Struthio camelus: one gene and its partners. The protein of the gene in region 1 interacts with the protein of each later gene in a biochemical or structural test. Links are inferred from orthologs where the notes say so. Each region holds a gene or a part of one and is shown on either strand. Other genes may lie near its edges.

What was found.
Region 2: of the proteins of AKT1 (region 1) and EZH2, one has a biochemical effect on the other in vitro, tested with the Homo sapiens proteins (2 studies listed by BioGRID). The link is inferred for Struthio camelus from reciprocal best matches to the Homo sapiens genes AKT1 and EZH2.
Region 3: the proteins of AKT1 (region 1) and FOXO4 form a complex in vitro, tested with the Homo sapiens proteins (2 studies listed by BioGRID, with this or other methods). The link is inferred for Struthio camelus from reciprocal best matches to the Homo sapiens genes AKT1 and FOXO4.
Region 4: the proteins of AKT1 (region 1) and CCDC88A form a complex in vitro, tested with the Homo sapiens proteins (2 studies listed by BioGRID, with this or other methods). The link is inferred for Struthio camelus from reciprocal best matches to the Homo sapiens genes AKT1 and CCDC88A.

The regions. Positions count from the first base shown.
Region 1 is NC_090946.1:73,935,904-73,943,199, forward strand, and holds the start of AKT1 (RAC-alpha serine/threonine-protein kinase), read right to left. Parts: upstream 3,014-7,296; 5' UTR 2,751-3,013; intron 2,621-2,750; exon of another isoform or gene 2,525-2,620; intron 2,329-2,524; exon of another isoform or gene 2,031-2,328; intron 1,032-2,030; exon of another isoform or gene 957-1,031; intron 1-956. UniProt on the Homo sapiens protein: AKT1 is one of 3 closely related serine/threonine-protein kinases (AKT1, AKT2 and AKT3) called the AKT kinase, and which regulate many processes including metabolism, proliferation, cell survival, growth and angiogenesis.
Region 2 is NC_090943.1:62,688,322-62,696,071, forward strand, and holds the start of EZH2 (histone-lysine N-methyltransferase EZH2), read right to left. Parts: upstream 3,014-7,750; 5' UTR 2,999-3,013; coding exon 2,994-2,998; intron 1-2,993. UniProt on the Homo sapiens protein: Polycomb group (PcG) protein. Catalytic subunit of the PRC2/EED-EZH2 complex, which methylates 'Lys-9' (H3K9me) and 'Lys-27' (H3K27me) of histone H3, leading to transcriptional repression of the affected target gene.
Region 3 is NC_090952.1:25,564,314-25,571,688, reverse strand, and holds the start of FOXO4 (forkhead box protein O4), read right to left. Parts: upstream 3,012-7,375; coding exon 2,604-3,011; intron 1-2,603. Other genes in the region: SNX12 (sorting nexin-12), read left to right, coding at 4,272-4,436, 6,002-6,097, 6,311-6,435, 7,042-7,144. UniProt on the Homo sapiens protein: Transcription factor involved in the regulation of the insulin signaling pathway. Binds to insulin-response elements (IREs) and can activate transcription of IGFBP1.
Region 4 is NC_090944.1:118,737,117-118,744,572, reverse strand, and holds the start of CCDC88A (girdin), read right to left. Parts: upstream 3,017-7,456; 5' UTR 2,936-3,016; intron 2,419-2,935; 5' UTR 2,004-2,418; coding exon 1,941-2,003; intron 1,823-1,940; coding exon 1,722-1,822; intron 1-1,721. UniProt on the Homo sapiens protein: Bifunctional modulator of guanine nucleotide-binding proteins (G proteins). Acts as a non-receptor guanine nucleotide exchange factor which binds to and activates guanine nucleotide-binding protein G(i) alpha subunits.

The DNA of each region.
Region 1 (7,296 bases):
TCTGTTCCAGCATCTTCGCTTACTTTACAAAATGCATTGTGGGCCTTGAGACAGGCCACTAACATCTGCTATTGGCCCATGTGATGTTCGATTAAGAATAACACCACATCTAAACAGGTATTTCATGACGGCACATGCGGCTTATCACCAGGAATGGAAACACTTCCCTAATACTGAGAGCGATCGGAAAAACCGTAATTTGAGGGTAAAAGACAAATCTCTAAAACCAGGCCCACCTTCTTTCAGTCTATGGGCGTAACCTCGGTTTACAAAACAGCAGTTTGAAATGCCTTGTGCTCTTGTGTCTCTACTGATCAATAGACAGGAGGTTAATTTTGTTCAGGTGAGGGGCCCGGATTACAACATTCAGCTGTCCAAGCTGCAACCACAGCTAAAGTTTGATAGGACAAACTAAGCTACTTATTTCAAAACGGAGTGACGGTAGAAAAGAGACAACTTCTTCATACTGTGTCAGAGACACAGGCTAGACAAAATCCTCTTTATGCTCCCAAACAAGAACAAGTCCTTCTGCAGTTTACGCTCACATAAGAACTGTGCTGCACAGAATTTTTGTACTAATTTAAGAAGCATTTTAATCAAATTCCATTTTAAAGTGCTCATAACAAAAGTTTTGCTCTGTCCACCAAACAAACGAAGTCAGTCATGATCCTATTTAATTCTTACTGTAATAAGGGCATTATATAAGCCAGAAAGTGAATGCTGGAGCTACAGGTTACATGCAGACATTAGGTCAATTTGATTTACCATTGCTGCACATCAAAAAGCAGTTCTATAAACACTGTACACAATGAAAACCCTCCTATTTAAAAAAAATGAAAGCTAGCTCCACAGTGTCTTTAAATCTATTAACTCAGACAAATGTTGTGGCTGTCATAAGGAAATTAATTCCTACATAAAAGTAATTACTAGTCATGCAGTACGTCAAATTTATTTACCTGTAAACAAATATTCTTCTGAATTAAGTGTTAGTAACTCCCCTTTATAACTGTATTTTGAAATGTACATCCCTCCTGTGGTATAAATAAAACAAACAAGGGCAAATCAGGGATTTGCTTCTCATTATATATTAGGGATGGCAGAAAAACAAAGCAAAAAGAAAACAGTTAAACACTTTCCCCAAGGGGGGGGGGAGGGGAATACTGATAAGGTACAAACACACTAGCATCAATACCGTATTGCCAGTAAGACATATATTAAAAAAGAAGTCCCAGTATCTTCACATCCTGGATTACACTACGTGTTTTTACAAAGAAACAGAAGCAAAAGTGCTAGAAGCCCCCCCCCCCCAAGAACATTTCAACAGTTGCAGAATTTCACCCGGGGGGGAGGAAAGGGGGGGAGAAGGGGGCATCTGCAGACAGACAGCGGTCTGCGAAGCACGACTGCACAGACCAAGTCCGCCGACGCTGCGCAGCAGCCTCCGCACGGCAGACGCCCCCGCGCAGCAGCACACCCCCCGCAGCAAACCCTCGCTGCTCCGCCAGCCAGAAAGGGCTCCGCAACGCGGCGGCAGAAGATGAAGAAGGGGGGGAAGACGGGGAAAGCTGCCTCGGCTACTTCGTTTGCCGCACGGTGTTCACACCAGCCCGCGCCCCCCGCGGGGGCCGGGAGGCCGGACACCCCCCCCCCCCCCCCGCCCGCAGCACTTTCCATTTACCGCATCCCGGGGAAGCCAACAGCTTCCTGCTCGCCCCGAGCCCGCTCGCCCGGCAGGACGCCCGCCGGGGGCCGGCCGCAGCCCGCCTCTCCCCCCCACCCCACCTTCCTCCTCGGCCCGGGGGGCGCCGCAGCCCGGCCGCGTTGGGGGGGGGGGGCGCGGCGGGGGAGCCCCCCCCCACTACCACCACCACCACCCCCGCCGGCCGCGGCCTAGGCGGGTCAGCGGGCGAACCGGCGGCCGCCGCCCGGGCCCCGCGCTGCCCTCCCGGCCCCGCACGGCGCGGCGCGGCGGAGCAGGCCCCGGCGCTTCCTTCCCGCAGCCCTTGCCAGCCGGGGACCGGGTCACTTACGTGCCTGGAGCCCGGGGAGAGGAGGTGATGGGAGAGGGTGGCGGCTGCCGGGGAAGGGAAGAGGGCGGGAGGAAGGGAGGTGGAGGGGGGGGGTGCGAGGCGGACGCTCCCGAGCTAAGGCCTAACCGGGCTCACGGCAGCCGCCGCCGCCTCCTCCTCACCGTCGCCGGGCGGCTGGCGGTGGGGCGGCTCCTCCTCCCCCTCTGGCGGGCGCTCGGCCCATGGGGCTCCCACACCCGCTCCGGCTGCCGGCCTGCCTTCGCCCGCCCGCCGCTCCGCTCCGCCTCGCTCCCGCCGCTGCCGCCCTGCCTCCGGCCGGGAGGCGGAGGCTGCCCGCCTGCCCGCCGCGCGATCGAGCCGCCCCCCTGCCGGCAGCCGCCGAGGCGGCGGATGCCCGCGCCGCCGCCGCCGCCTCCCCCCGCCACGCCACGGGGCCGCGCTCCCGCCGCCGCCGCGCTCGCCCCACACGCGCCGCCGCCGCCGCGCTCGCTCACATCCTCCGCCGCCGCCGGGTCCTAGCGCCGCTCGCCGCCGCCCCTCCGGCAGCGGGGAGGGCAGGCAGCGCCCGCCGGGCCCTGTCAGCGCCGCCCGCCCCGCGCAGCCCCGCCGCGGCCCCCCTCGGCGGCGGGAGGCGGGGGAGGACCGCGTCGCCCGGCTCCCGCGGAACCGCCGTCCCGCCCGGCGGCAGGGCGCAGGCCGCGCCGCACCGCTCGGAAGTACCTGAGGAAGCCGTTGGGCGCCTTCGGCGGGAGCGAGCCGCCCCAAAGCCGTCGAGGCAGGCAGAGCCCCACGGCCACGGACCTCCCTCACACCTCCCCGCGACCGGCTGCTTAAATACTTGGGCGCGACGGTGCCTGTGAGAACACCTCGGCGGCCCTGTCCGGAGCGGGGAGGCCGTGAGGCGCGGAGCGCGGCCGCCCGCCGCCTCGCCCCGCTTCCTCAGGGTTTGAGGGCCGCTGCGCTCTGGACAACCGTGTTGTGGAAGTGCCTTTGACGGAGTTGGTGTTTCTCGGCGCTCCCAGTAGCTAGTTTTGCCCTCTTTGCTAATTTAAGGATTTTGTTTGTTTTCTCATTGACAGTGCCGGCAGCTCTGACCGGGCTGCAAGAAGTGATTTGGTCTGTTCGGAAGCCGACAGCGGCGGATGGTCACGTTTCTGTAACCGGAAGCTGGTTAGAAGTTGGAAAACCTTCCCATAGCTTTGCAGTGTTAATAGACTCACGGTGCATGAAGTGCATTTACAGCAGTAAAGCCGGGGAATATGACCTTGCATTCACGCTGGTAACAAATCTATTTTGTTGGGTAGTAAGAGGCATTTCTACCATGTCCTTTGAATGACTGTACACGTTTACCAAAATTCACGGCTTATATACTTTCCTCTTCCATTCTGAGCATCTAGGTCTGTCTAAATAATTCTGACTGCCTCTTGGGTGCCCAGGTGTCAAACGGATCATTGGGTTTTGTGTACATCAGTGCTCTGGAGGAGGCAGGAATGGGAACGAGGAGGAAAGGGTTCACATTCGCTCAGGATGGAGGGAGGGAGAACGAGACCTCCTTTTCCATCACTGGGCAGGCCAGTTCCTCCCCGTGGAAGTGCTAAGCCGGTATTGTATTTCTATGGCTCTCCTTTAGGAGTACTGGGGCCTTTAAGCGGGTTTAAAAATATACTACCAGCCAAGTTAGGAGAAGAAGCGTACCCTGTGTTACAGGAGTACCTAGTTTAGGGTTAGATCCTCACCTAGTGATGCAGTGGAAAAATTTCGGTTTATACAAGAGGAGAATGAAACGGGCAGGAGAACTGTTCCCATGCTGATGTACAAGGGCAAAAAAAAAGGAAAAGAGAAACCTGCAACAGACTCTCTGGGACTGTCGTCCCATTTCTACATACTGTACATTAAGTCCAGAATATTTAGCATAGATTAAAATGCATTTAGGTAGTAAAGATATCTTTCGAAGGAAATTAGTCATCAGTGTGAGAGGCTTGCAGCATATTGAGGGGACATGTGTAGAAACTAACCAAAAATAAAGAAGAAAATTCATTTAGAAACTAATTTTGACTCTTGAGCCTGTGATTACACCGAGCAATAAAGAGCATGTGTAAGCAGAGGACTTCACTGGCTGTAGGAAACTTCTGTATAGGCAGAGGGATCTCTGGTAATAGATCTGATTGCAGGAGAGCTTTCTTGCCTCTCTGCCAAACCTTGTTCTGATTGATAAGCTCCCGGGTTGTCATCGTGAGCAAGGTCATTAGGACTTCCCCTGCAAATGAAGCAGCAGTTTAAAAAATAAGGTCATACAGCAAGCATAGTTTTCAGTCCCAAAGAGAAGAAAATAAACCTCCATTGTTTGCTAAAAAGGAAATACAGTAAAAAAACCCAAAATCAACACGAGCACATTGTTTAGATTTGCAAACTGTTGATTTACAATGATGAACGACAGGCCCAAACTAGAAAGTTTGGATCCAGATCTGACATTCCCCAAATGGTGGGCAGGAGGGGAGGGGAGGGGGGGGACAACACTTAGATTTGGGGTTTGGAATAAGGCTTATCTCCGAAACACAGAAAAGTCATGTGGATAAAAATACCCAGGTAAAGTAGGAAGTGCCTGGTCTGCAACAGCAAGGGTGACTTTGTAACAACAATGAACAAAAGCAGGCCTTTTTTTCCTCTGAGAACAATGAAATCACTCAAGAATTGTTATAAATGCAAACAATGGGGGTTTTGTCATTCAGTTATCATCAATGGGATTATAGTCTATAAACCCTAATTTTCAGGGAAGTCCCTAGATTTCCCTAAGCGCTTCCTCAAATTTCACATCTGTTTACTCTAATTTAGTAACTGATATGGGATAAGGTGCATCAACTGTTCCTTGGTATTATGTTACCATAAAATACTGAACGTAGGGGTTGGAGGCAAAGAATGGTCGATTGCCAGACAATATATCAATACTGTACCGGAAGAACAGACACTCATGTTCTCACCCATTTTTAACAAATATGGAAGTAACAAATAATCTGATCTAACTTTTAAGACTTTATTTTAAAACACTGAAATTATGCAGCTTTGGATAAAAAACGTTTTTATTCAGTCAGGCATAAAAGGAAAGACTAGTATGGTAAGATGGAGTGGAATTACTGAGTTCACCCCAGTAGAACAAGTTGTGCTCCATGACTGCAAGTGCTGACAGTGCCTTTTGGTGCTAACAGTGAATTTATTCCTCCCTTTTTGAAAGGTGGGCTCTACTCAAACAGGGCTCAAAAAAAAAAAAAGCTATGCGAAGTCCTATTAGAGTTGTGGCACTAGTGTCTCAGTCTAGGCATTTGTAACTTTTAAAGAAACAGCTCATGTTTGGTCTAAGATGAAAGTCTAGTTTAATAAAAATACAAACTTTTTTAAAAGTGCATTCATTTCATGCTGCCAAATATAATAAACATAGCTGCACTTCTAAAATTGAAAAAAAATCCAATGATTGAAGACGTTTTCTCAAGAGCAAAACAAAGGTAGGCTATCTGGAAAAAAAAAGAATAAATGTAATCATACTGAAACATTGTCATTCTGCTTTTTAGAAAGTTATACTGTGAATAAATACATGTATGATTTAGTTTGTACTTCTGTGCTGAATTCGATGAAAGACTATTCAAGTGTTAGCTAAATTGATAACTGGAAGACCAGAGATCTGAGTTGTCCCTGTTTGCTAAAACATCTTTTGGGAGCTCTTCTTCAGGGTTTATTACAGACCCTCCCAGAGGTCAGACAGGAGACCTACAGGAGCTTCTGTTTCCCAGCTGCCAGCATGCTCAGGCTGGGCAGCGCTGGGGTGGCAGTGTGCCTTCTCCAGCTGGAAAAGGAGGAAGAGGGCATACTTCACAGTCCTTCCAAGAGCTTTTCTGGCTCCGTAATGAATGGTGCTGACAAACTCCAAAGCGAGAACCATGCAGTTCTCTTCCTCTGGAATAATGATAGCCACAGGGCAGCAAACACGCTAGGGGGAATTCAGTAAATAAACAGGAACTGAATTGGTTTGCACAGAAAATGCACTAGTTAGATATAGAATGTACAAAAATAGCAAATATATCAGTTCTGTCGCATACGCCAACCACGGCTGTTTTTGTTGTTACAGTAGTAACCACAAGTCCCATTTTGGACCAGGAAATGTTAGGCACTGCACAGACACAGCAGAAGAAACAGTCTTTGATCTTAAGGAAGCAAAGTCTACTCCAAATTGCTGATTTTTTCCCCTCCTTGTTTGTAAAACAACATTTCGTGAGTTCTTAGTTCTGGGAAGATACCTGAAAATGCTGAAACTGCAATAACCTGCTTAAAGAAACATCACAATCTTAACTATATTCGAAAAGGAAAATCCTCTGACACTGAAATAATGAAGTTGTATACACATGTTCTATACCCATTAAAAACAAAATCAGGTCTCTTGCATTCTCAACTCACACACCCAATGCTCATTATGCTATATTGATCTAAAATTATATGGTTAAGCACAAGGTGGGCAAATGAACTTGAGTGCAGTATTAGTGACTGCCCTTGCAAATCTCCCTATGGAAAAGTGGAAGGAGCAGCAGCTCTGCTGCCAGGCATAGGCACAGCAGTAGATCTTTCGGAGCGCTGCAGTCTAGATGAACTGAGCTCCAGGTGGAAGCCAGTACAGAAAAACGCAGTCTTTCTCATGATCTTTACAATTTCCTTGAGATCAAGAGCCTTAATCTAGCTGTTAAGATTTCCGGTATTATGATGACAGAGGCTTCCTAAATCCTTTAAAATATATCTACACATGACATTTAACCACTGCACTGACAGATTTTTTTATTATTTGTGCATGAATGCTAGCAGAGAAGGGATTGCTTTTAATTTCTTCAGTGCATTTTTAATGGCATCTGCATGCACACAAAAATCTGCTAGCATTTGAATCACCTCATCAAAATTTTATAGTTTGGAAACTTTTAAAGCCAGAAGTGACCGTTCCAATATCATTCTGGTCTGACCCCCTGGATACTGCAGCCATAAAATTGCATTTAGTCATGTCATCATCTGTATTCACACCTCATATGTAAAAGAGATGACACTACCATGAACCGAATAAAAGCAGGCAAAGGGGAAGGGAGAGGAAAGTCAAATTCATATCTTCAGTGTTTTCTTTACTTCAGTGCTCAGCTGCAGCCTCAGTTCTGCAGTCATGCCAGTCAGAAACCTGCCAAAAACCAACAGCTTGGGGAGCGACAGCAGAGTATAGTTTCTGCTTTATTTATAATACAAG
Region 2 (7,750 bases), on another chromosome or scaffold:
TTCATTTAAAGTTTTCAGCACTAACAGCTAGTTGATTCAACATAAAGTACCTGAAAAAGATCCAACAACAAAAATGTATGAAAAACTAAACTTATTTCAGATTTTCTACCAGTTGAAGAAGAGGGCAGCAGCCTGAGCACTGCCTCTAACTTTATTTAATTTACCTCATTTTTACAGGAGAGTTTCCTTTAGAATATTTATTAGTCAGAAAACAATGATAAGGCTACTTCTCACAGTTTCATTTTCTTTAATAAAGATAAAAACAAATAAGAAGTTAGGTTAGTTAATAGCAAACTAAAATTTCAATAGAAATAATTAGGTTTCCAATACATATCTTTCAACCAATACAGCAACTGGACAAAAAACTAATGCAGTACATATTTTTGTCAGACAGCTGGCAAAAGGAAAAGATAAATCTTTACTAGAGTGCTGAATCACTTTGCGTATGCAAATCTGTAACTTTTCAAGGTATTTTTCCCTTCAAAAATAAAGATCTTTTTCTATATCCTTGCAGTTTTAGGACTTAGAAAAACAAAAATCAGATACAACATGTAATTACTAAATACCTCGTAAGGAATTATCATTTGAATGATAAAACTTCTTAATTCCCACCATTATTCTCTTCCAGAACATTTCAACATTTGCTATTTTTAGAAAAACACTGTTTTAGAAATACAAATGATACGTTTAACTGTTTGTCCACTTCGGGGTGACAGGGAACAGATGGGTAGATGACAACTGCATTATTCAATATTAAACATCAAACCAAAACAGGCACTAACTAATGTACTGAAATCTCACTTCAGTTTGAGTGACATCAGCAAAATACTATGCAGCAGGTAGTGTAACCATTTATTTTTACCTGGATATTTGCACGTAAAAATAGCTTTAACTATATTTACAGGTATGAGTAAGACTATTGGATCAAAAATAAATAAAACATTTTAAAAAACCAAACATCAGAACAGCAACAAAAAGTTTGAAGCTTGATTTTGATACGTCCTTTGCAAGTCACAATTAATCATGAATTTCCACATCCCTTACACAAGACCAAGCCTGATTATTTGTCAGGAGAAAGTAAAGATTTAGCCATACAGCTTACATTTTAAATTCATACGTTCAAATTTCTCTTTTCACACTCATTAATAGAATGCCATAGGATACATTTTGTCTAATTTATTTGAAAAGATACAACTCCCACACAAATTCCAAACAACCTCTGTTGCCTAACAGCTCCATCCCCTAAAATTTAAGGACTTTTTGATATCCTTGATAAACCTGGCAGAAAGAGTGCTGGGAGCACTTACAGCATGCCTACACAGGCAAAATAATTTAGGGTGTGAATTTAAAGTGCAGTGGCAATTCTACCCTAACTTGTTTTTATGGACACACCTATTTTACTCTAAAACAGCCAAAGGTTCTTTAGCTCAATCCACACAGAAACAAAAACCCCACACTCCACACGGAAAAAGTAAACAACAAAAAAAAAACCCTGCCACGCAACAATTGCTTTTCCATACTTATTTCCTTGCACAGGGAAAAATCCCAAATTTTGAAAGATATTACACTTCCATGTATGCAGAAACCTCATACACAATTTATTGCAAAACAGTCTGAAAAAATTTTGGAGCTTAACAGGTGTTTGGTAGATTTGCCAATGATCTGAAAAAGTCAGCAATGAGCTTCTAATGATGAAAGCAACCAAATTAGTTATTCAGTCAATGCTCATTTTAAAGCTCTCAGAATAACTGAGTCTAATGCACAGCATCCATATCTCCCTAAAAAGTATATGAGGATTAACCCAACAGCACATTGCTCTTTCCTTACAAGAAGTATTTTTTTCTTTACAAGCTGTATTTAATCTAAAGAGGCTACTTTTCCAGAAGCTTGATTTAAAGGGGAAAATTAATGAGAAACTGTTAATCTTAAAAAAAGAAAAATCATCTAGTGAAAAAACTCTGCTCCCTTAGGCTATGGAAGAGAACTATGGATAGTTCCAAGGCTTTGGGAAAAAATTATGCCTCCCAATTTCAAGGCAGCATTTGAACACCAGTGGTGGTTACATAAACCATTTTACTTTCAAGTGTAAAACAGCTTCTGTCAATTTCCTCTTCCAAGAGTTGAACAGTAGATTTAACTTTGCAGTAAACACATTAGTAATACCCACTAGAAATACAGCACAAACTGGTGGATGCATAGCTGGAAGAAGTTATCGTGAAGGATAGATTTTAAGCTGTGCCCAATTACAAACTGTATCATAAAAATCAGAGAAAGCATAACCTTAAGATTTTAATCCATCTGATATAGTTTAGTTATGCCTGCAAGTCAGGTATCTGCAACACGTCTGCCTGATTTCTTACAGAAAAAAGTAATCCAAGTCCCAGCCCTAATTTTTTCTTAATCTTACTAATAAAAATGAGATCGGACATCTACACACTGGAAATATAAAGCTTGCCAGGTCCACTTGTGCTAAGAAACGTGGAAAGGAAACTAGCTAGCATTAAAAAAAAAAAAAAAGAAAAAAAGTATGAGTAGTTAAGATTTGAGTTTCCTTCCTTTCAAATAATTTTTTTCTTTAAATTACATCAGATGGCTTTGGGATTTAAATTGAACATGCAGACTGTGAAACAGAGAATGCATGGTACGGAAAAGCTGAACCAACCACGTAAAAGAAAAATGAGAGAAGGAGTCAGATGCAACACAAACTGACAAGGGAAACAGGCCTGGCTCTAGATTTAAAGAGAGGGGGGGAAAAAAGGACAAACATTGCATACAGTCCTGAAAAGACTTTTTTTTTTCCAGCCCAGGCTGTGGACTGTAACTTTTACTACTTTGCTTGCATAATTACACACACAACATTAGTTAAACAAGCACCATATTTATATATATATATATATAAAAGTAGCAAATTCTGAAATACTTCTACAATTGCATATTAATAAAGTCATTAGTTGCATTCAGAAAGATGGCAGTACATTCTCTGTCACTTTTACCTCATTTGTTAACGAAATCATATACATCCAAAGTAGGTGCTTTGACAGTACTACTATGTGACATTTTCAAGCAGTTGACAGCACTGCACTGATCCAGTCACATCATTACATTATTTTTCATCTGCAGCCTTTAGAATATGCACCATATCTGACTAGATTTCCAAGTGGTCTTGAGCCAGAGACTTCCCACCTTAAAAGCACTACCATTAGAAAGGAAGCACAGTACACATTATAAATTTTTACAAGACAGTGTTATTCACAAATTGAGCAGAGATGCAATTACTTAAACATCCTATACGCACACTTTAGCTGGGCAACCAAAACATTCCCAAAAATTAGAGTTTGACTTTTTTTTTTTAAGTATATTTTTCCTGGACATAGGAAGAACATCTAACAGACATCATCTTCTCTGAAAATATATATATTTTTTACAATAATCTATTTACAAATCTATGGCTAAATAATTCTTATGTTTTTCAGAATTCCTTTATCTTCCACCTTTTTTTAAAAGGAGCTTAATTTGGCTATATTATATGCAAGTGATACTCTTACTCATCACTCAGATACTTCAGAGTAACCCCTACCCAAGTTTACTAATGTTACTTTATTTTTTTAATCCAAAACACATATTCCAATTGTAACACTGGGTTAGTTTTTCAGTTTCACCAAGTACTCAGAACTCAAGTCCACAGTTTGACAGATCTTAGTGGAGATCTAGGTGTACAACCAGAACAAGTCTTTAACAATCAAAATATCTCCTGTTATCAGTTACAGAAAACAGCATTGCCACTACTGTCTTAAAGGAAAACAACTGCACAGTTTTTTGCTTGGACCTTGGTAGACCCTACTCTCCCTCCACCCCCACCTCAACAAATTTCAGTCTTTAGTTTCACCTTATCTGTGAGCAGTGACACACTGAGTCATTCTAAAGTCTTCAAGTGATTTCCATGAGGACAGGTAGAACATCTGCTTAATAATTCTAAACACTGTTTTCCTTTTAATCTTTAGCTTAGCAAAACTCTTGGGTATATACTTAGAGCTAAAAAAACAAACCCAAGCACGTTAACTTGGAACCAGCATCTTTGTTGTTCCCCTGCAAAATGCCTCTCCCTGTTCTGCATCCTTTTCATATAAGGTTTTTCTTCTTCTCATCTTTCCTCCTCCAGACATATCCCCTTACCTGAAGTTATCATTTGAACTACATCAGCATTGGAGTAACTTTGTCGATTTAAAAACTAATTTGGTTATTCTAGAACATCTGTACAAGTTACACATAGATACTAAACGCCACTTCAATTAGACATCATTTCAATGAGCCTGGCACCACTCCACAGAGTTTTCTGACAGGATGAACAGAAGGTTGGTAGCAAAATTACCATTAAAATAATCCTCCTAGTACTGTCTTACAGCTAGCTTCTTTTTACTTTGGTCCTGCTTCCAAAGGTAGGTGCTATTCAAGCACCTAATGTAACCCTTAAGAATTACATTCATAGTATGCAGACTACACCCATTCCTTTCACATTTTTAAAATCTGGTAAACTGTATTTTGCTTAGACAGGTAACTCTAACAATGACCTACCTGACTCAGCGAACTTTCAAATTTTCCTTGCTTAGCAAAGGCCAAGCAAGGAAAATCCAAGCAAAGGCAAATCTTGTTCCTGAGATTTCCAGCATCTCTGTTGGGGACAATTTTATTCCTCCTAAAATTTCACAGATGCTTCTGCTCGACTCAGTTACACTGCATCTATAAATGCTAACTACAGATACCACACAACATTCATATTATAGCCTCCACTAAAGTTTCCCACAGTGCTTTCACTTGAGTACAATACAAAGCAAACATTTATTAGATATGCCTTGTCAGTATTGTTGCCATTTTTAAAATTAAAACCTTCTCTGTTCAGTCATATGGCATTTAAAATTGTCATCCAATTCTAACTTTAAAATTGAGAATTTATTAAAATGTATACAAGATATATGCAGCTAAAGAAGTAGAATCTTCTTGTAAATGTAAACATTTCTTGTAAAAATAACAGAGTTTTTTGACTAATTACAAAAGGAATTTTTTAAGGCACCAACTTTTCTGGGAACATTTTTGGAGCGCACTAGACGCTAGATGTAGTTTATTCTGACGTAAGCTGCTTTACAAAAAGTGACGTTTAGCCTGCACTCACAACATATGCAGTTGGTGCCTTTGCTAACGCACTAGCAAAGTTCTCCTCTCTCTAAGCCAAAGTCTCTTTGCAGATAAGCAGAAGTGCATGATCATACTTACATTGCACCTTTGAATGCTGCAATGTTATAGAACAAACATAATTCTATTCTGGCATGCAATCTTCAACAAAATCACTAACCATATTTCAGCTTGGTGGCAATTCTAGCAAAAGGGAAAAAATCCAGCTTGAATTTCAAGTCTCTGGCCTAAGTTTACACACCATCACTTTAGTTCATTGTAAATTCAGCAAACATGTTTTATGACCTTTTGACAATACGAATTTTCAGTGTCTATCACTTTTGAGGATCAAGTTGCATATTAAAAAAAACAACTGCCCTGTGTTTTTTCCAAATTTTGTCCTAAATTAGAATCTTGAATTGTTTTAAAATTTCAGAACAAAATAGCTGTCATCACCTCATGGAACATTTTACTGTCACAGTTCTCCCCATGTGCCGTTTAACTTTTAATTTCCTTCTTCACGTAAATGAAGGAAAAAATGTATTTTTCTCTCTTTTTTTTTAAACTCTGGAACAAGAAATATAACCCTTTTGATGTAAGAAGCTTAAAAGAAACCAAGTAGCAAAGCATTAGATCTTGAAGTTAAAGACACTCAAGACACCACACAAAACTTTCTAGCCATATCTCCTAAAACACTGGAAGCATGCTTTCTGAAGGTCTCTACCGGCCTTAAACATTCACATTTTAAGGGGCTAAACTGAGAGTAGTTATTGTACACTGGGCTGAAATAATACTCACCCTCCTGAAGATGCTTTATTGTTACTGCAAATAACATTACCTGGACTCTCAATCTGATATAGACAGTGAGGACAAACATCGAATGACCTTTTAATTTTTACAAATCACATCAAGAATCTGAACGGGCCAATCCCTTAAAAAAAACAAAGAAACAAACAAAAAAACCCACACTATCTACAAGGTAATCCTAAGAAGTGAAACCTGCACTGGGAAAACTCTTCACTGAAATATATATTCGGTAAGAATCAAACTCATAATAGTTGGAACTACAGTTGCTAGACTTACACAAGGTTGTTCAATTGTTACAAGATAGATTCGTCCTTGTGTAAAACTGTTGTACAGTTTTCTTAAAGAGACCAAGGATCTAAACTTCCAACTTCCTAGTTAAACTCTTCTCTAGCTCCAATAAGGATAGTGTTTCATAACTTAGAGAAAGTACTTCAAGCAAAGTACCAGTTAATTATTCTATTCCCACTGCACATATCCACCGACTGCTTTTCTTTCGGTGCTACTAATAATTTTTCAATCACCACGAATACCTGTTAATGTCAAATACATAAGCCAGGTGCCACAATGCACCGATTTCTTCATCTTCACCTAACCACACATTTTTTGCAGAGGGGCAGCTCTGTCCAGTACCCTCCTTCACACCTTCCCAAACACCCTGGTTTCTGAAAGCGCTCTGTACACCCGTGCTTGACAGCCTTAGAGCTAAAAATCGCAATTTCCAGCTCCCCACAAACTTTCTTGCAGCGCTCTGGAAAACAAGAGCCAAACGGTGCCCTTCGCCGTTAGGAAGTTCACTCGAGTTGCCGGTCTGGCAGGTTCCCCCCCGCCCCTTAAATAGTTTTTCTTCCTGAACTAAGAATTTTCAAAGGCAAAGGGGGGGGGGGGGGAAGGGGGAGGAAGAAAGGAAACACCTATGGGGAAAAGAGTGCCCAAACAAGCACAAGTTTATAGGACGAGTGCGCGGAGATGCACAAGCCGGAGGGCGCCGGGCTCGGCTCGCCGGGCAGCAGCTTCCGGGAGACGAGGAGCCCACGCGGCTGAAGCGGACCTGTCCCAACCCCTCGGCGGGGACGGCGGGAGGCAGGCAGGGAGGGAGGAATACTCCGCTCGCCCACCTCTCTCGGGGGAGGAGTGGGGGGGGGGGGCGCGGATTTCTCCGCGGGTGTCAATCAGCCGCTCTGAAGCCTTGCTGGACACGCTGAAAAATCCACGCATCCTTCAACAACACTGCGCCCAACGCCGCCAGGCAAGCAGCCGGCTCTGCTCCACGCCGCCTCTCCCGCGCAGCGCGGCGCCTCGGGCCGCCCCCCGCCCGCCCCCCCTCCCGCCGCCGCCGCCGCCCCCCGGGCCGCCTCTCGCCGACCTGCGGCCGGGCTGCGCGGAGCCAACTTAGACAAAGGGCACTTACAGACTCCATGCCGCTCCCCTCCAGCTGTCACCGGCCGGCGCGCTCGCCACCCCACGCCGGCCACCGGCTCCCCCCCCCGCGCCCCGTCCCGGCCCGCCCCGCGGAGGCTGCCCGGCGGCAGCCACCGCCCCCCCCCAACCCCCCTCCCCGCCGCCCGCTCCCTCCTCCCCTCCCCCCATTACAAAGGGAGCCGGTTATAAATAGCCGCTCCCGGCGCCAGCGCCTGAAGCCCGCGAGGTGTCGCTCGCTCGCTCACTCACTCACCCGCCCGCCCGCCCTGGCCTCGCGCTGCCGCGCCGCCGCCGCCGCCGCCAGCTCCGCCGCCAGCTCCGCCGCCAGCTCCGCGCCGCTCGCCCGCCCGCCCGCGCT
Region 3 (7,375 bases), on another chromosome or scaffold:
ATCCTGCCAAGCTATGCCAACGGGATTTGAGGGAGAGCGCACACAGCTCCCTTTGCTTTTCCTGGATACGTAACTGCTTAATTTGCAGTATACCGTCCATATACAAAATCAGACTTGGACAATATTTGCTAACAATTAAAACAAGTTTTTAGGGGAATTTCCCCCAGCATTTAAACAGCTTCAATTGTATTTCCACCATAGTTTTCTGCTTGCTGGTTGAAGTCCACAGTTTTAAGCTGCTCTAACCATAAGGTGGGCTGATCACAAGCACAGCTGCTGTCACTCTGCCTTCTCTCATCTTCCCTCACAAGAAGTTTCTGTTCTCCCCGCTTTGCTAAAGCTAGCCTGAGTTAGCCCATTCACAGGCTGCAAGACTACAAGTGAACTTCATCAGCAAAAAGTCAAACTACATCAAACAACTCCAGCAACAGTGCCAGAGCAGGGCCCTCAACTCTCACACACTTACGCACAAAGTGTTCTCATCTCTGCCTCTCCACAAGCTAAATCCAACCACGCTTTTTCCAAAATTGACAACACATGATGAAATCTTAAGAGTAAAGCCAAAGGTCCTGTTTCACACTAAGGACTACAGCAAAAGAACAGTCACACTGGATCAAGCCAGAAGTCCATCTATACCAGCATCTAGCCTGATAGGATACCTCACTACGCTCCTTCAACTTCCCCAAGATATCCTGGGCCATATCTAAGATGCCACACCGAACTTTGGTCTCAAGCTCTGTTATCTATCCCCAGACCTAGGTCCTGAAACACATCTCACAATAAAGCATCTCAGTGCCTGCTTAACTCCATGTGCCAGCTTCCTCAGCCTTAAGGACCGAGACGCAGTAGGATTCATTTACAATACAACCGCTTCACGTTCATAACTACTAGAAGGTCAGGAAAAGAGTTTGTACCGCAGAGAACCCAAAGGGAGCGTTCCAGCTGCAAACTCATTACTGCCAAACAGACAGAGACATTCCCAAAGAGAAAATGCACCAATGTAATGTCCTGTTTGCCAAAATAATACGATTCCACGCAGCAGCAGGCGGCCCAGGACAGCCTGCCTAGCCCAAGCAAGCAAAAACTGTCTATCAGTGAGACCTCAGTTCTACTGAGGAGAAAGCAAACGTATCTAAGCACGCTGTCTCAAGTCAGCACTTGTTAATAGGGATTCAACCTGCATGACGGAAGAAAAGAAAAAATGAATAGTCAATTTTAGTCAAACTCCTTGCACTCCCCAGGAACCTTCAGTGAGCTGGACAAATGGGAAAGGTGACATGTTTTGCATTAACCTATGCCAGCTTAAGCTGGGACAGCTGCGCCCCTCTCACCACGTTCCTACCCTCTCTTGAGCAAACACCAGCATTCATGCAACCGCACGGTGTGCCACTTCAGAGAGCTGAGCCAGCTGAAAGCTAACCTACCAGAAAAAACCATCAGTTTTCTGCAAATTCAACTCTCTGAGCTGACTTGCTGCTTGATCACACAGGCACCAGCTCACAGGCAAAGGAATGCCCGGCTGGAGTCGTGGAAGCCCCAAACCATATGGGCTCAAGCTGCCACAGAACCGCGCCACGGCAGCGCTGCTAACCACAAACAGAGAGATACTCTGCAAACAAGGGGAGCGTAGCGTAAGTGTAATTCCAGTGTGCAGCAACAGATCACACGCTTTAGATTCCAGTCACTCTGGCAGCCTCTGTGATATACGAGGACAGCACAAGGGACTATTTCACAAGCCAGTTCTCACATCTCCCTTTCTTTTTGCTCGAGTCCGTCTGACTAAACGGAACGGGAACACCAAGCTGCCACCTGCAGAGGACGGAAATGGAAGTTAGCTCTTATACTAGAACTTAGCACGTGCCTATTGCCAGAGCAACAGGAGAAGATAATATAGAGATTTTTGAAGAGCATGTTCCTCGGTCTACTTTCCCTTTTCCTAACTCCAGCAGAGGTCCTCAGTCACTACGCAGCAGAATCGGCATTGCTCTGGGACACAGCACCCTTTCTGAAGGGAGGTTCTTGAAAGCCAAGAATGTCTGCTATGAAACAGTTATTTATACTGAGCTTTCGCACAGGGGCTAAAGAACTGCGGCCTTGTATTTAAAGGCCCTTTAACCGATGCTTCATCTTACACAGCCGCTTAGCTAGAGTCTCTCCACTGACCCCTGACTCCCTCCCTGGAAAACTTTCAGGACGCAAAGCGAACAAGGAGCAGCCTTTCATGGCAAGGCAGTGACCGAGCGAAGCCCTGGGCTGGCGCCCAGCGAAGCCCGTGCCTCCGCTCAGGCTGTGCGAAGCCCGGAGCGGGCCCCGGAGGAGCCCAGGGGACAGGCCCGCAACACCGCGGCTGCCAGCGGGCCCCGACCGAGCCAGCTAACGCACTCGAGGCCTGCGGCGGGACACGGAGCAACAGGTGAACAGCAGGCTGTGCGCAGAGGGCACCGGCAGGGCCGAGGTGACAGGCAGCGGCCTACCGGGCCCTCCCTCACCACGGGGCCAGCTCTGCCCGGTGCAGCTCCCCCCCCCACCCCCAACCTCTCCCCAGCCCTCACACCCCGGGGCGGCCCGGGCACCCCCCACCCGCCGGGGCCCGCGGCGCGCACCTTCCAGCCGGCGGAGCTGTTGCTGTCGCCCTTGTCCTTGAAGTAGGGCACGGAGCGGACCATCCACTCGTAGATCTGCGCCAGCGTGAGCCGCTTCTCCGGGGCGCTCTCGATGGCCTGGCTGATGAGCTCGGCGTAGGACTGGTTGCCCCAGGCGTTACGCCGGGAGCCGCCCTTCCGCGCCGCCGCGCCGCCCGCCCGCGCCCCCTCGGCCCGCCCGGGCCCCGCCGCCGCGCCGCCCGCGCCCTCCTCCGCGCCGCCCGCCGCAGAGCCGCCCGCCTCCGCCGGCGCCGCCGGCAGCTCAGGCCGCGGCAGCGGCCAGGTGCAGGAGCGCGGCCGGCTCTGCGGCTCGAAGTCGGGGTCGATGTCCAGCCCCGCGGCGGCGGCAGCGCCGCCCGCCTCCGCCATGGGCGCCCGCCTCAGCGCCGCCGCCGGGCCTGGGCCGCGCCGCCGCCGCCGCCGCGCATGGACCCGGCCCGGCCCGCTGCCCCTTTGTGAGACCCGGGCCCCGCCGCTGCTGCCGCGCCGCTCTGTTTACCAGGGAGCAGCGCCGCGCTCTGCGCCTGCGCGCGCGGGGCGCCCCGGGAGTCGTAGTCCCGGCTCGGCTGCCCGCGTGCGCCCCGGCCCCGCCGCTGTACTACAACTCCCGGCGCCGCCCGCGCCCGACGGGGCGGGGCGCCGCCCCGAAAGGCGAGCGTGGCAGGCAGCGCGCCGAGAGAACTACACCTCCCAGCGGGCACCGCGCCGGCCGCGCTTACATAACGGTGGCCCCGCCCCTGCCGAGCCGCCTGTCGGGCCCCCTCCCTCCGCGCTGTTCCCGGCACCGCCCCGGCGGCCAGTGCCCGGCCGAGGACCGGCCCCGGGGCCGCAGCCACCGCCCAGCCCCGTTGCCGCTGCAATGGCTGGGCTCTAGGCTTGTGGCTCCTTCAGCCTTGTTGCCCGCTCGGGCCCTGCGGCCAGCCCTGCCGGGAGCCTGTCTGCTCCTTTCCCCTTCCCTGCCCGGGCGGTGAACCAGGGTTGGCAACCAGGTTCCGGGGCTGCGGCCTCGCCGCGCTACACAGCGCCCGGGGTTGGCCCAGCCCAGGACGCTGTATAGCAGAGCCCTCGCCCTTCCTCCGGGCCGCGCCGCGGCTCCGAGCCCCGCTCCCAGCGCGGCTGCCTCAGCCTCGGGCTCTGCGCGGTCCCAGTGCGGGGAAGCGGCCGGGGCGGCGCAGGCGGCGCGGGGCCGCGGCGTGAGCGAGTCCTGGCCTCAGGTTCCGGGGTGGCGCCGCCGCTCGCCCCGCGCTCTGCATAAACGCCGTGGTTTTGCAGGCGGCGGGCGGGCGGCGGCGCAGCGTGCGCGGGCGGGGCGGCGGCGGGGACCCCGGACCCTGGATAGGCGGAGCGGTTTTGCAGGCGGCGGGCGGCGCGAAGCCGCGGCGTGCGCGGGCGGGGCGGCGGCGGGGACCCCGGACCCTGGATAGACGGCGCGGTTTTGCAGGCGGCGGGCGGCGCGAAGCCGCGGCGTGCGCGGGCGGGGCGGCGGCGGGGACCCCGGACCCTGGATAGGCGGCGCGGTTTTGCAGGCGGCGGGCGGCGCGAAGCCGCGGCGTGCGCGGGCGGGGCGGCAGCGGGGCTGCGGCAGCGGCCGGGCGGGGCGGCGGCGGCGGCGGCGGCGGCAGCACCACCATGTCGGAGGCGGCGGTGGCTGACACCCGGCGCCTGAACGCCAAGCCGCAGGACCTGACGGACGCGTACGGGCCGCCTAGCAACTTCCTGGAGATCGACATCTTCAACCCGCAGACCGTGGGCATGGGCCGCGCCAGATACACCAGCTACGAGCTCCGCATGCGGGTGCGGCCCGCGGCGCGGCCTCTGCGGGCCGGCGGCGCAGGCCCCGGTGGGGGACGACCGGGGAGGGGGCCCGCGGCGAGCTCGGGGGGAGCCGTGGGGGCAGGGGATGGGCCTGGGCGGGCGGGGGGGGGGACGTACTCGTGAGGGGCGAGGCCGGGCCCTGCGAAGCCCGGGCTGGGGCTGGCTGCGGGCCTGGCCGCTCCCCAGTGGGCGAGGGCTCAAGGTCGGGGCGCTCGCCGCTGCAGGAGGGCCTTCTCCGTCCAGGCAGGCCTGGGCACCAAGGAGGGTGCCCCCCGGCAGGCCCCCAGGCCTGGCGCTCAGCCGCGGGAAGCGGCTGCCCGCAGCTGCCTCCTCCAAGAGGGAAGGCAAGCCAGTTGTCAGTGCCTCGGGAGCCCATCACGCTGCGGTGGAGCTGCCGTCTGCGAATAAGCTCGGTCGCTTCACAAAGAGCCTGCGGTCCTGAAGAGCGCGTAGCAGGCTGAGCGCTTCTTGCAGGGTTCTGGGCCTTAATTGGGCTGAGGTGGTGACTTCGAGGCTCGCTATAGGATAGCGCAAGTAAAACTGAGCTTCTCCTGAAACAAGGTGCTGCTAGTGTACGTTACGGTGCTGGCGTTGGCTTCTGTTCCACGGCATGATTTAACTGCTGCGTCTCCGCTGCCTTTCGGAGGAGGATTGGGTGTTTGCTCTTTTTCTGTCCTGATGCTTGGTTTCGTTCAACCTGCCAAACAGTGTCTGGCAGATGGCAGTGAGAACCGCTTAGTGTCACTGAGACTAGCTCTTGCAGAGATGTTTCAAAAGCGGCTGGTTTTGTTTTGCGGACCTGATGAGAATACAGTTATGTGTGTGGCAGCACCACCTGTGTACATCTGGTGCTGACTTGTCAGAAGGTTCTGCTGCCTTAGTTCCTTGATTGTTTCAGGATGTATTTATTATTGGCAGCGTGAGGGTGAAGTTGCTGTAGCTTTCAGGCTTCCGACTCCGATGTGGGGGGAAGAAGGGAGGGGAACTGCTGCAAAGTTCCTGTCGTGGCACAGGCCAGATATGGAAAAGGTGCTTTTCCATTTGGGTAGTCAGTCTGTTCTGTAGAGAAGATTGTAGCACGAGATCTGGCCTTGGGCAGTTGCTGGGACAAGATTTCCTCCCTTAATTCTTCCATGGAAACGGCAGTGCCAGATGGGAGGTTCTTTAGCTCTGGAAGCTACTACGAAGCTTTCTTGAACACCAGTTCAAAATGGAGTGAACTCGGAGGGGGTGAGGGGGGGGGCGGGAAGCCTTCTCTGTACTGTAAGCCCTGGTTCCAGTGTGTGCCCCTGGGAGGGGGTGTTTTCCTGAAATAGTAACTTGAGGGGGAGGGAACGGCTGGCTTCAAGTAGCCTGGCAAGTGCTTGCTTGATTTTTGAAGGGCTTCAGTGCTTATGTCCTGAATAATGGAGCTGGGTGTTCTCGTGATGCGTTCTTCTCAGGGGGCTTGGCTTTCTAAATGCAGCTTTAGGTTTCGATTACATCTTGAAATGCTATCTGGCTTCTGAACCAACCTGCAAATTAACTACTTCTCTTCGTTACAGACAAACCTCCCCATCTTCAAATTGAAGGAGTCGTGTGTGAGGAGAAGATACAGTGACTTTGAATGGCTGAAGAATGAGCTGGAGCGAGACAGTAAGGTGAGGCCTAGCTCGGACCTTTGCTGCAATGGGGTCACACGGTAACAATTGTAGCAATGATCATGTCTTACCCAGAGGAGAGGCTGTGGTGGGCTGCTGCTGCTGAGGCTTGATCTCTGGCCAAGTAATGGTGCTAGAGCTGAGCATCAAACAGCGAAGGAAGCCCTCTTGCAGGAGGCAGTTCTGCTAATGGCGATGATTCTGCGCTTTCAGATTGTAGTGCCACCGCTGCCTGGAAAAGCTTTGAAACGACAGCTTCCATTCCGAGGAGACGAAGGCATCTTTGAGGAGTCCTTCATTGAGGAGCGGAGACAGGGACTAGAACAGTTTATTAACAAGTAAGCTTGGTGTCCTGGGCTTGCTGTGTGCTTGCCCTCCTGGCTGCTGCCAGCAGAAAAGGGTTGTGGGTTGACTAGGAAGGAATCCTGATCCACTGTGTGCGAGTGCCACGCTAAAGGATGGTGCCTGCAGCTGGGTAGTGAAGTCACATCTCTGAAGCAAGTCCTGCCTTGACTGTGGACTGTATTCAGTGCTCTGTTCTGAGACTGAAGTGAATGTTAGCAGATAAGTTGTGCTGCAGAGACTCACTGACTGCATAGTGTTGTTTCAGGATGCTCGTGACCCTGCTGCAGAGCGTGCTAGTGGAGGGATTACTCTGTGCTCAAGCATCTCTTGCTGGCCCTGATACATGCCGATCCAGTGACCTTGGCCTCGCCCCAGAGTGGCTGTTTCAAGGCTTCAATTTGATCGGGAAAAGCCCAAGTCCCTGGGTTTGCTCCCCTTGGGCAGGTCAGGCCTCCCAAGGCTGTGGAGTGATCATGACATTTTTGTGCTTGAGGCTGGTCCCCGTTAGTGAAGTTTACCTTATTCACTCACTACGCAAAGTGGATTTGTGGGGACCCCTGTGGTGGCTGTGCTAACCTCCACTTGTGCTTTTCTTCCAGAATTGCTGGACACCCACTGGCACAGAATGAGCGCTGCTTACATATGTTCCTGCAAGAGGAGACTATTGATAGGAATTACGTCCCAGGAAAAGTGCGCCAGTAGGAGCACCTGGCACCGTCTTCCTCCATTCCACCCTCCCTCCTGCAAAAATGACATTTATTTTTACACTAAATCTGTCTTCTCTGAACCAGCTTTTCCTCTCTTGAAGCTCCCAATTTGTTCAGTATTTTCCTCTTTTGTAACTGGCAGCAGTCTGTTCTACTGGGCTGTGGTCTTGGCCTAAAGGTATGAAGATTTATGCAAGTGAATGTGTTGTCCTGCACCTAGCAGCAG
Region 4 (7,456 bases), on another chromosome or scaffold:
TCCTAAATAAACTGTAGTACTCCAGGGAATGGGGCCAAAGATGCACACACAAAGTTAAAGTCAAATTCAAAACACAGCGCTCGAAGCATGGGAATATTCCCTCACTACAACTTTCCATTTGAGTTACGTTTTCAAAGGCAGCAGACTTCCCATATACGTATTAATCAGGTTATACTCTTTCTTAATACTGCAAAAACTTGCTGAGAGAGTTTAATTTCAAGATTGCATTTTTCAAAATCACCTTGTCCCAATTCTAAATTAGGCCTTCGCTTCCAACTATCCAATGTTTTTACTGAATGAAAGTTCTACACCTAGTTTATACCTAAACCAAGTAAAGACATTTAAGCTGTAGAATAAAAATAGGGTTTCTGTGAATGCATCACTTACAATTCTTTTTACAAAAATATGCCAGAAATACACTCAAGTTCAAGATTTCTTACAGAAATTTCTACTCCAAGTTTTCCATGTTTCTCAGAACAACAGAAAACGAGTACTTGGAATTTATACGCACAGAAGTTGGTGACAAGATACTGGTTTTAAAGAATGAGAATTCAGTCTTAAATGTGGTGAGCAGAGCTTTTACATAGATTAGTTAAACATGCCAAACACCAACAGCAAAAAAAAAAAAAATTGAAGTAAGAACTATGAACACAGTACAAGGATGCCTATCACTGAGCAGTGTAACAGCTGTCATTACGAGCTGCTCACACATTGGCGTTATTTATCAAGCCATTCATAAGCCTACACTTACTCATAGCTATGCAAAGAAAAGATGTACTTCTCTGTATAGATCTAAAATACTGGAAAAAATTGAGATCTTTCTTCCACGGGTAGCAGTTTTATGATTATATTGCTATGCACTTGACAAAAGTGTTATTCGCTAGCATTACAGTAGTGGGCAACATTCCAGTCAAAACTATGATTAAAAAAAAAAAACACACACACAATACAACACACAGTTGACTATTTCTGTATTTCTATGACTGGAACTTCTTGATCTACCTGCCTTCTAAATTACATATAAATACATAGCTTGTAATATCTTACATCAATAAAATTACATAGCAAGCTTTCTACCAATCACAGCTTTCAATAAACACTTGTAGAAAACATGTAAAAAGGTTTCTTCTGTGGTTTGCAACCCAAAAAACATTCTACACTATCAAATAACACTTCAGCTTTACTACACAACTTCTATTTACTCAAACTTGGCACTGTGAAAAACAAAGCGAAAAGAATTACAGAACAGCCCATTTGGTTAGTAGACAACATTACGCTGACTGACATACTATCCTTAAGTTGTATACCATATGAACTAAGATATGCATTAGAATCTTATTAACCAAGCAATTTGCTTAGAAATTTGGTTTATGACTGCGACTTACAGTAGAACGAACCTTTATGCTTCTAAATGGAAATCTGGGAAACTGCATTTACAGTGATTCAAGCGCAATTTTCCAGTAAGTTCTAGATATGACTTTGCCTGTATTACCGTATACCTCCTGCAAATACATCATTTTGGCATTAAAAATACTGTACTGCAAACAAATAAAGAGTATCTGGAATGCTTTAAGCCACAAGACTACTTCAAGCATAAAATAAAGAAGACATTTTTACTAACATTGTTATTGAAGGTAAGAAGAGCTTTCCTAAGAAAGTAAAATACAGAAGGGAAGACAACAGTAATAACCAAATCCAACACACAACTCGAGTACACTCACATTTGCAGCATGACTTCGTTCAGAAACACGCCATCCACTAGCGCCACATATTCCTCCAGGTTGGTCCCATTTCCTCCAGCTAACGGTCCAAATGTCTTAACCTAAAATATAATCATCAACACTGTGACACAAATTCCATCCTCTTCTGTGCAGCAAGGCATTTATCCTCAAACAACAAGCAAATACAAGAATAACGTGTAAAGAAAAATTAATGCTTACCCAGGTGACAAGAGGGCTAGACATGAACTGCTCCAAAAGGGGTGTGAATATTTCGCTCTCCATTTTACAAAAAAAAGGTTAGCATCAATGTTGCTCCTCTGATGCAAAAAATATGAGAAGTCCTCCACTGTAGCAACTTGCTAAAACACTGAGAGGATTCAGCTGGAGTAAGCAAACCCCATTTTTACAAAGCAGTGCAACAGCAACAAAAAAGTCGGTGGCAAGTAGGCTCTATCTTCCTCTTTCCAAATAAAAAAAAAAAAAAAAGCATTTGAAAGTCCATCTACATGTATTTCGGCCTTTCCATTGATGTCTCTCCCTTCCTACATACTGAAGGGGTAGAAGGAAGAAAAGAGGGAGGCTGCCTAGCTACTAGGATTCTACATCAGACAAAAAGAAAGGAAGGAAAAATCTGCTTCAGCAGCGGTAGCTCCTCAGAAAGGAAGGAGAAAATCCAGTAAAACTCTGCAAGCTCATCCTGCCCCGTCCCCACCAAAAAAAAAAAAAAAAAAAAAAGACGAGGTTAAGCGAAGAAGAGGGGCATACACCCCCACCCCCACTCGGCGCTAAGCCCCTCAGGCTGCTTCTGCACACAAGAGAATGACCCCCCCCCCCCCAAATGGCACAGGCAGCCCCAGAGAGGACACCAGCCCCCAGCAGGGATCAGAGGCTATTTTTAATTAGTTCCCTTTTCTAACCCCTTCCCTTTTCCACTAAACTACGACGCAACATAGGGACAGGACCGGCACACGCCGCCTCTCCCCACAACCTCGCCCTTCCCCCCGGCTGGCCGCTCCCCCCGTCCCCGCCCGTCACAGCTTTCTCCTCGCCCGCCGGCCCCTCCGCCGGGCTCCCCGGCCGCCCCCCAGCCCCTCCCGCCTCGCTCCAGCGGCTCTCCCGCCCGCCGCGGCTCTGCAGCCACCCCCGAGCCTCAGGCTCCCGCGCCCCCCGGGCCACCACCTCCCCTTCCACCCCTCCTGCCAAATAACGGCCACCTCGCCTCAGCCAGCCGGCCCGACCGCGCCGCCTCAGCCGGCCCTCCTCCCCCCCCTCGCCCACGGGCGGCTCCACCGTATGGATCCCTCCGCCCCAGGCCGCCTCAAGAAAAAGGTTATCCCTCCGCCAGCTCGGGTCCCTTCCTCCCCCGCCCAACGGCCGCTGGTGGCTGGCGGCGGAATTAAAAAGGGCCGGGGGGGGGGGGGGAGGGGCGGGGCACCGTTGCAGCACCCGGCGCGCACGAGCGCGGCGCGCGCACTGCCGCTGCGGCGCTGGCGGCGCGCGAGCCCAACGGCCGCGCCGTGCCTCGCGGGGGGGGGGGGGGGGGCGGCGGGCGGCCCGGCACCCGCAGGGGCGGGGGTGGGGGGCCAGGAGAGAAAAAAAAAAACCTCTTTGGCTCCCGTTTGGGAAAGCGAGGGAAAGCTCGTCGGTGAAAGAAAGAAAGGAGGAGGGGGGTGGGGAGGGGGAGTTGCTAACGCCCGTGAAGAGGAAGATGGGGGATTCATCGCTCCCTAGGTCGAGAGCGGCGACCCGCAGCCCTCACCGTGCACTTCAGCGATGCGGGGGAGGGGGGCGCGGGGGGTCTTCCTAAGATGAAACCCAGACACACCCCCATTAACACAAAATCCAGCTTTCTGGAGGGATTTAGCAGGGAAAGGGGAGAGCGGGGGGGGGGGGGGCGACCTGGTTACAGAAAAGCAAACGATGACAAGCAATTTGCTTGCCTAAGCTATTGTCCTTAAGCCATCTCTTGCCACTTGTGCATTTCAAATCTCAAGTACTGCATTAACATACGGGATGGTATCTGCTTAATAGATTATGTAGTTTATTCACAAAGCATTTTACAAAAATCTCAAACTAAATCCATCTTCTCTTCCATGTAATATAAATTAAATTGCAGCAGCATTTTCCCAAATACCTTTACTTTTGCACACACACAAAAGGACAAAATGCAATAAAGTGACTGAAATTCAATGTTGGGGAAAAAAAAATCCAAGTAGAGTAGCATCTAAACAGATTAGTTTTTCTAACCCACATGTCTGGATGTGGTATTTATCCTAACTGTTGAAGATTAGGAAAAAAAAAAATCCGCATCAGTGACCTTTTCCCATATATATGAAACTGAAGAGAACGTTTAGGAGTAGCAAAATAAACTATGGACCTTGAAATATTACTATGCAATTTGTATTTTATGCATAAGAAGTTGCAGGAAAGTGGCTTTGTTTTGATTCTTGCAGTGAGATTTCTTTTTCAATAAAATCAGGTCTTCTTTTTCCCCCAAACTCGATCTTTGGAGTGAACTCGTGACTAGCCTTCCTGTGAAACAAGAGAAATAACAGAAAGCAAAGGGAAAACTACAGTCTTGGATCAAAATAGGAGTCTGGTGATACATGGGTGAAATAACTGCCAATAAACTACTAGCCCTTAAAGACAACTACAAAAGCATTTTTGTAAAAGCCTGAATAACCAGCCGCGAAGCTCCCTGTATCTGGCAACAGTATATAGTACACAATTGTGCATGCAATACTATGGAACTTCCCTGGCTCATCAGTTTTTCTTGCAGGCTCTAATTAGGCAACAGTGACTTGGGCATAAAACATTTTCTGAGAATTGAAGACTGGCCAGTAGGAGTTGATAGCCCAAATATTAGCTACATGCTAATAACAGCAGCTAGCTAATCAATTCCTGAAAAGTATTTTATGCTGAGTTGGTATATATATTTTTAGATTAAATTCTGATTAAGCAGTTCTAAATATTTTTAGTTTTAGGCAGGTTTTTATATAACCCATAATTCACTTTGCACACAGTCTCAGTATTGCTATTGCTCACCATTCCTGCAGTCAGACTACTACATTTTAGATAAATATTGCATCATGTCTTCTTTGTGAAACATACTGTAAACTGGCTTAGCCCAACAAATGATTGCTTATAAAAGGTGGAGATGAACACAAGAGGAAAATTGAAATTTCAGAAAAGGTGCCCAGAAACAGTCAGGTTTCATTTATGATTTTTTTTTTTTTGGGTAAGACTAGCAGCCCTAAAAAACTTGTGAAGAAGCTTTATCGTTTCTGTAACGTACACCTTGTCAAACTGTAAAAGAATTTACCTCATTTTCAGTGAGATAAACCCTCACGTCAGTTCAGAATGCATTGCTGATAGGGTAGCTATTTACCATGTTGTAATAGCTGCAAAAAATTGGACAAGCTAGGGGTTGTTCAGTTGGCTTTACCGTTCATCACATCAGTGCCTACATAAAGCTACTGGCAGCCTCTAGACACCAGTGCATTGCTGGTACCTACCCTAGCGAATCCCTGCTCTCCTGGCTCAGCTTGAGCTCAGCTGCAGAGCCGCGCGAGATGGTTATTTAAAATGTAGCCATGCTGACAGGGGTGAAACTGGGTGTCATAGGATGGGGAGATGTTTGGTTTTGATTTCTGAACCCTCTTTTGACAGAGCTTGCTTGAAATTAACTAAAAGGGAGAAAATTTGAGGTGTTTTTCTAATCCCACACTGAAAACAGAAGGCTTCCATTTTTAGCCTAGCTGTCAGGAGTTTTCAGGAGTATTAGTCTAGGAAATTTTTAGAAGTCATGGCTCCGCTTTAAGGGGCTAGGCAGCATCACTGTAATCTGCAACCTGTGGGTTGTTTGGATGCACTGGTTTTTCTTACTTTTTACCTGGAGAGACTCCACAAGACAAGCTTCATGGCCACCCTTATAGGAACAAATGCAGGAACTTTGGCGTAAAGATTCAGTATCAGCTGTAGAACGTGGCAACCTGAGTTAACTGGCTATTTAGGAAGCTCAATTCAAAGTCTTGTATATAAAGCCATAAATAGTATGGGTTTGTTACAGATTTGTTTTCTCCCTCATCATCACTCATCAAAAGTAACAGGAATGTAATTCTTTCGTCGTCAAGGGCCTACAGAATATTATTTCTTTTCACAATATTTTGTAAATACCTGTAGCGCTAGATGTTTTCCTCTTCAACGCATCTCATGATCATTCAGGGGAAGACTCTTGACTGGGCAGGTGAGTAGGAAGACAGTGTAAGCTACTGTTCTCCTGCAACACTATCTTAAATGAATAAAGCTTCTCAATATTAGAGTTCAGTTCTGCACATTCCGGTCACGTTTATAACATTTTCCAGGATCACATCAATTGTTTGCTCCTTTTAAAGCTAGTATCTCTTTCACTCCCAAGTCCTCATTCCTCAAAAGGATACAGCACTACGTGTTTTATAATTAAAATACAATTACTTCTTTACATAGACAGTAAAAATATTTAAGTATAATCTACAAATATTAATATAATTGCAGGTAATGTGAAAAAGCAGAAAGTAGTCCTGTCAGCCCCAGGAACAGTGAAGCCTGGTAGCAGGTGGTTGCTTTACGTCCCCAAATATGAGCTGGCTGAAATGCTCCCCCCACCCCAAGGTGGCGCATCCAGATCCTCATGTGTCTAATGAGGTATATATTCAGACTGGTACTGTGTCCTCAGTTAGTGGACCAGTGGGCCACCTAAATTGTAAGAATCCATCTTTGCTCCTCCTCTCCTACTCCCAGCACTCCCAAAGATCACTCACTCATAGTTTTCAATTTCTGTTGATTTCATTAGGACATGTGCAACTCTCCTAAATGGTATGATTCAGTTTGAAATTGTCTCCCTCTTCTCCTTGGAAAGTAAAATACTGTATTTTGGCTTTAGTAGAACTGATAAGATAGTTGGAAGCGTTCCTTCACTTTGAAGCAACAGGAGGTAGAAACATTAAGTTATCTGTAGTGAAGCTTTAAATAGTTCAATTATTCCAGGGATGCACATTCAGGAATCTTTTGGAACTGTATAAAAATTACACTTGTTATAATTTGTCTAAACGCAGAGAAGACAATCTTGTTCTTTTACATTTCCATTCTCTGCAACAGACCTGTCAGAATTTAATACAGTGCGTGGCCTACAATTTCTGAAAGCACAGTTTTAGAAATTAACCTTGTTAACTTGAAGTGCAGTGTTTGTCCTTCTATAGGTAAAGTATCCCTATTTCTATTGCATCTCCTTTGGCCCCACAAAGATTATAATTTCAGCGTCTTCTGCAAAGAAGGAAATCTGTGCCTAGACCCCAGATCCACAAATGACAATTATTTTGTGACTTTTTTAGCTTGTTTTCCTCATAGCATAATTTTGTAGGCCTGTGGTTGCAAAGTAAAAGTTGAAAACATAACTGGAACATAAATAGTGATTCCTTAAGTCTGCAGACAGCATGAAAGCATAGCTATGTGTACGGCCCTATTCATCTTGTGAGAAGACTTCTGGACAGCCTTGCCCATTCTAAGCCAAAGGAGGGGACTGTTTTTGAAGAAGAATATGAACATAACCTACCCATCTTTAGCTGATATAAGAGACTTTTTTTTTCTTCTTTGCAGAGGCAGGAGAAGAGAGAGGGGTGACAGCTGTTGCTGCTGTACTCCCCTACTGATCTGCACTGCTGGGTTGCTAGGCCATTTCCTTGGCCTCCTGAAAGTTC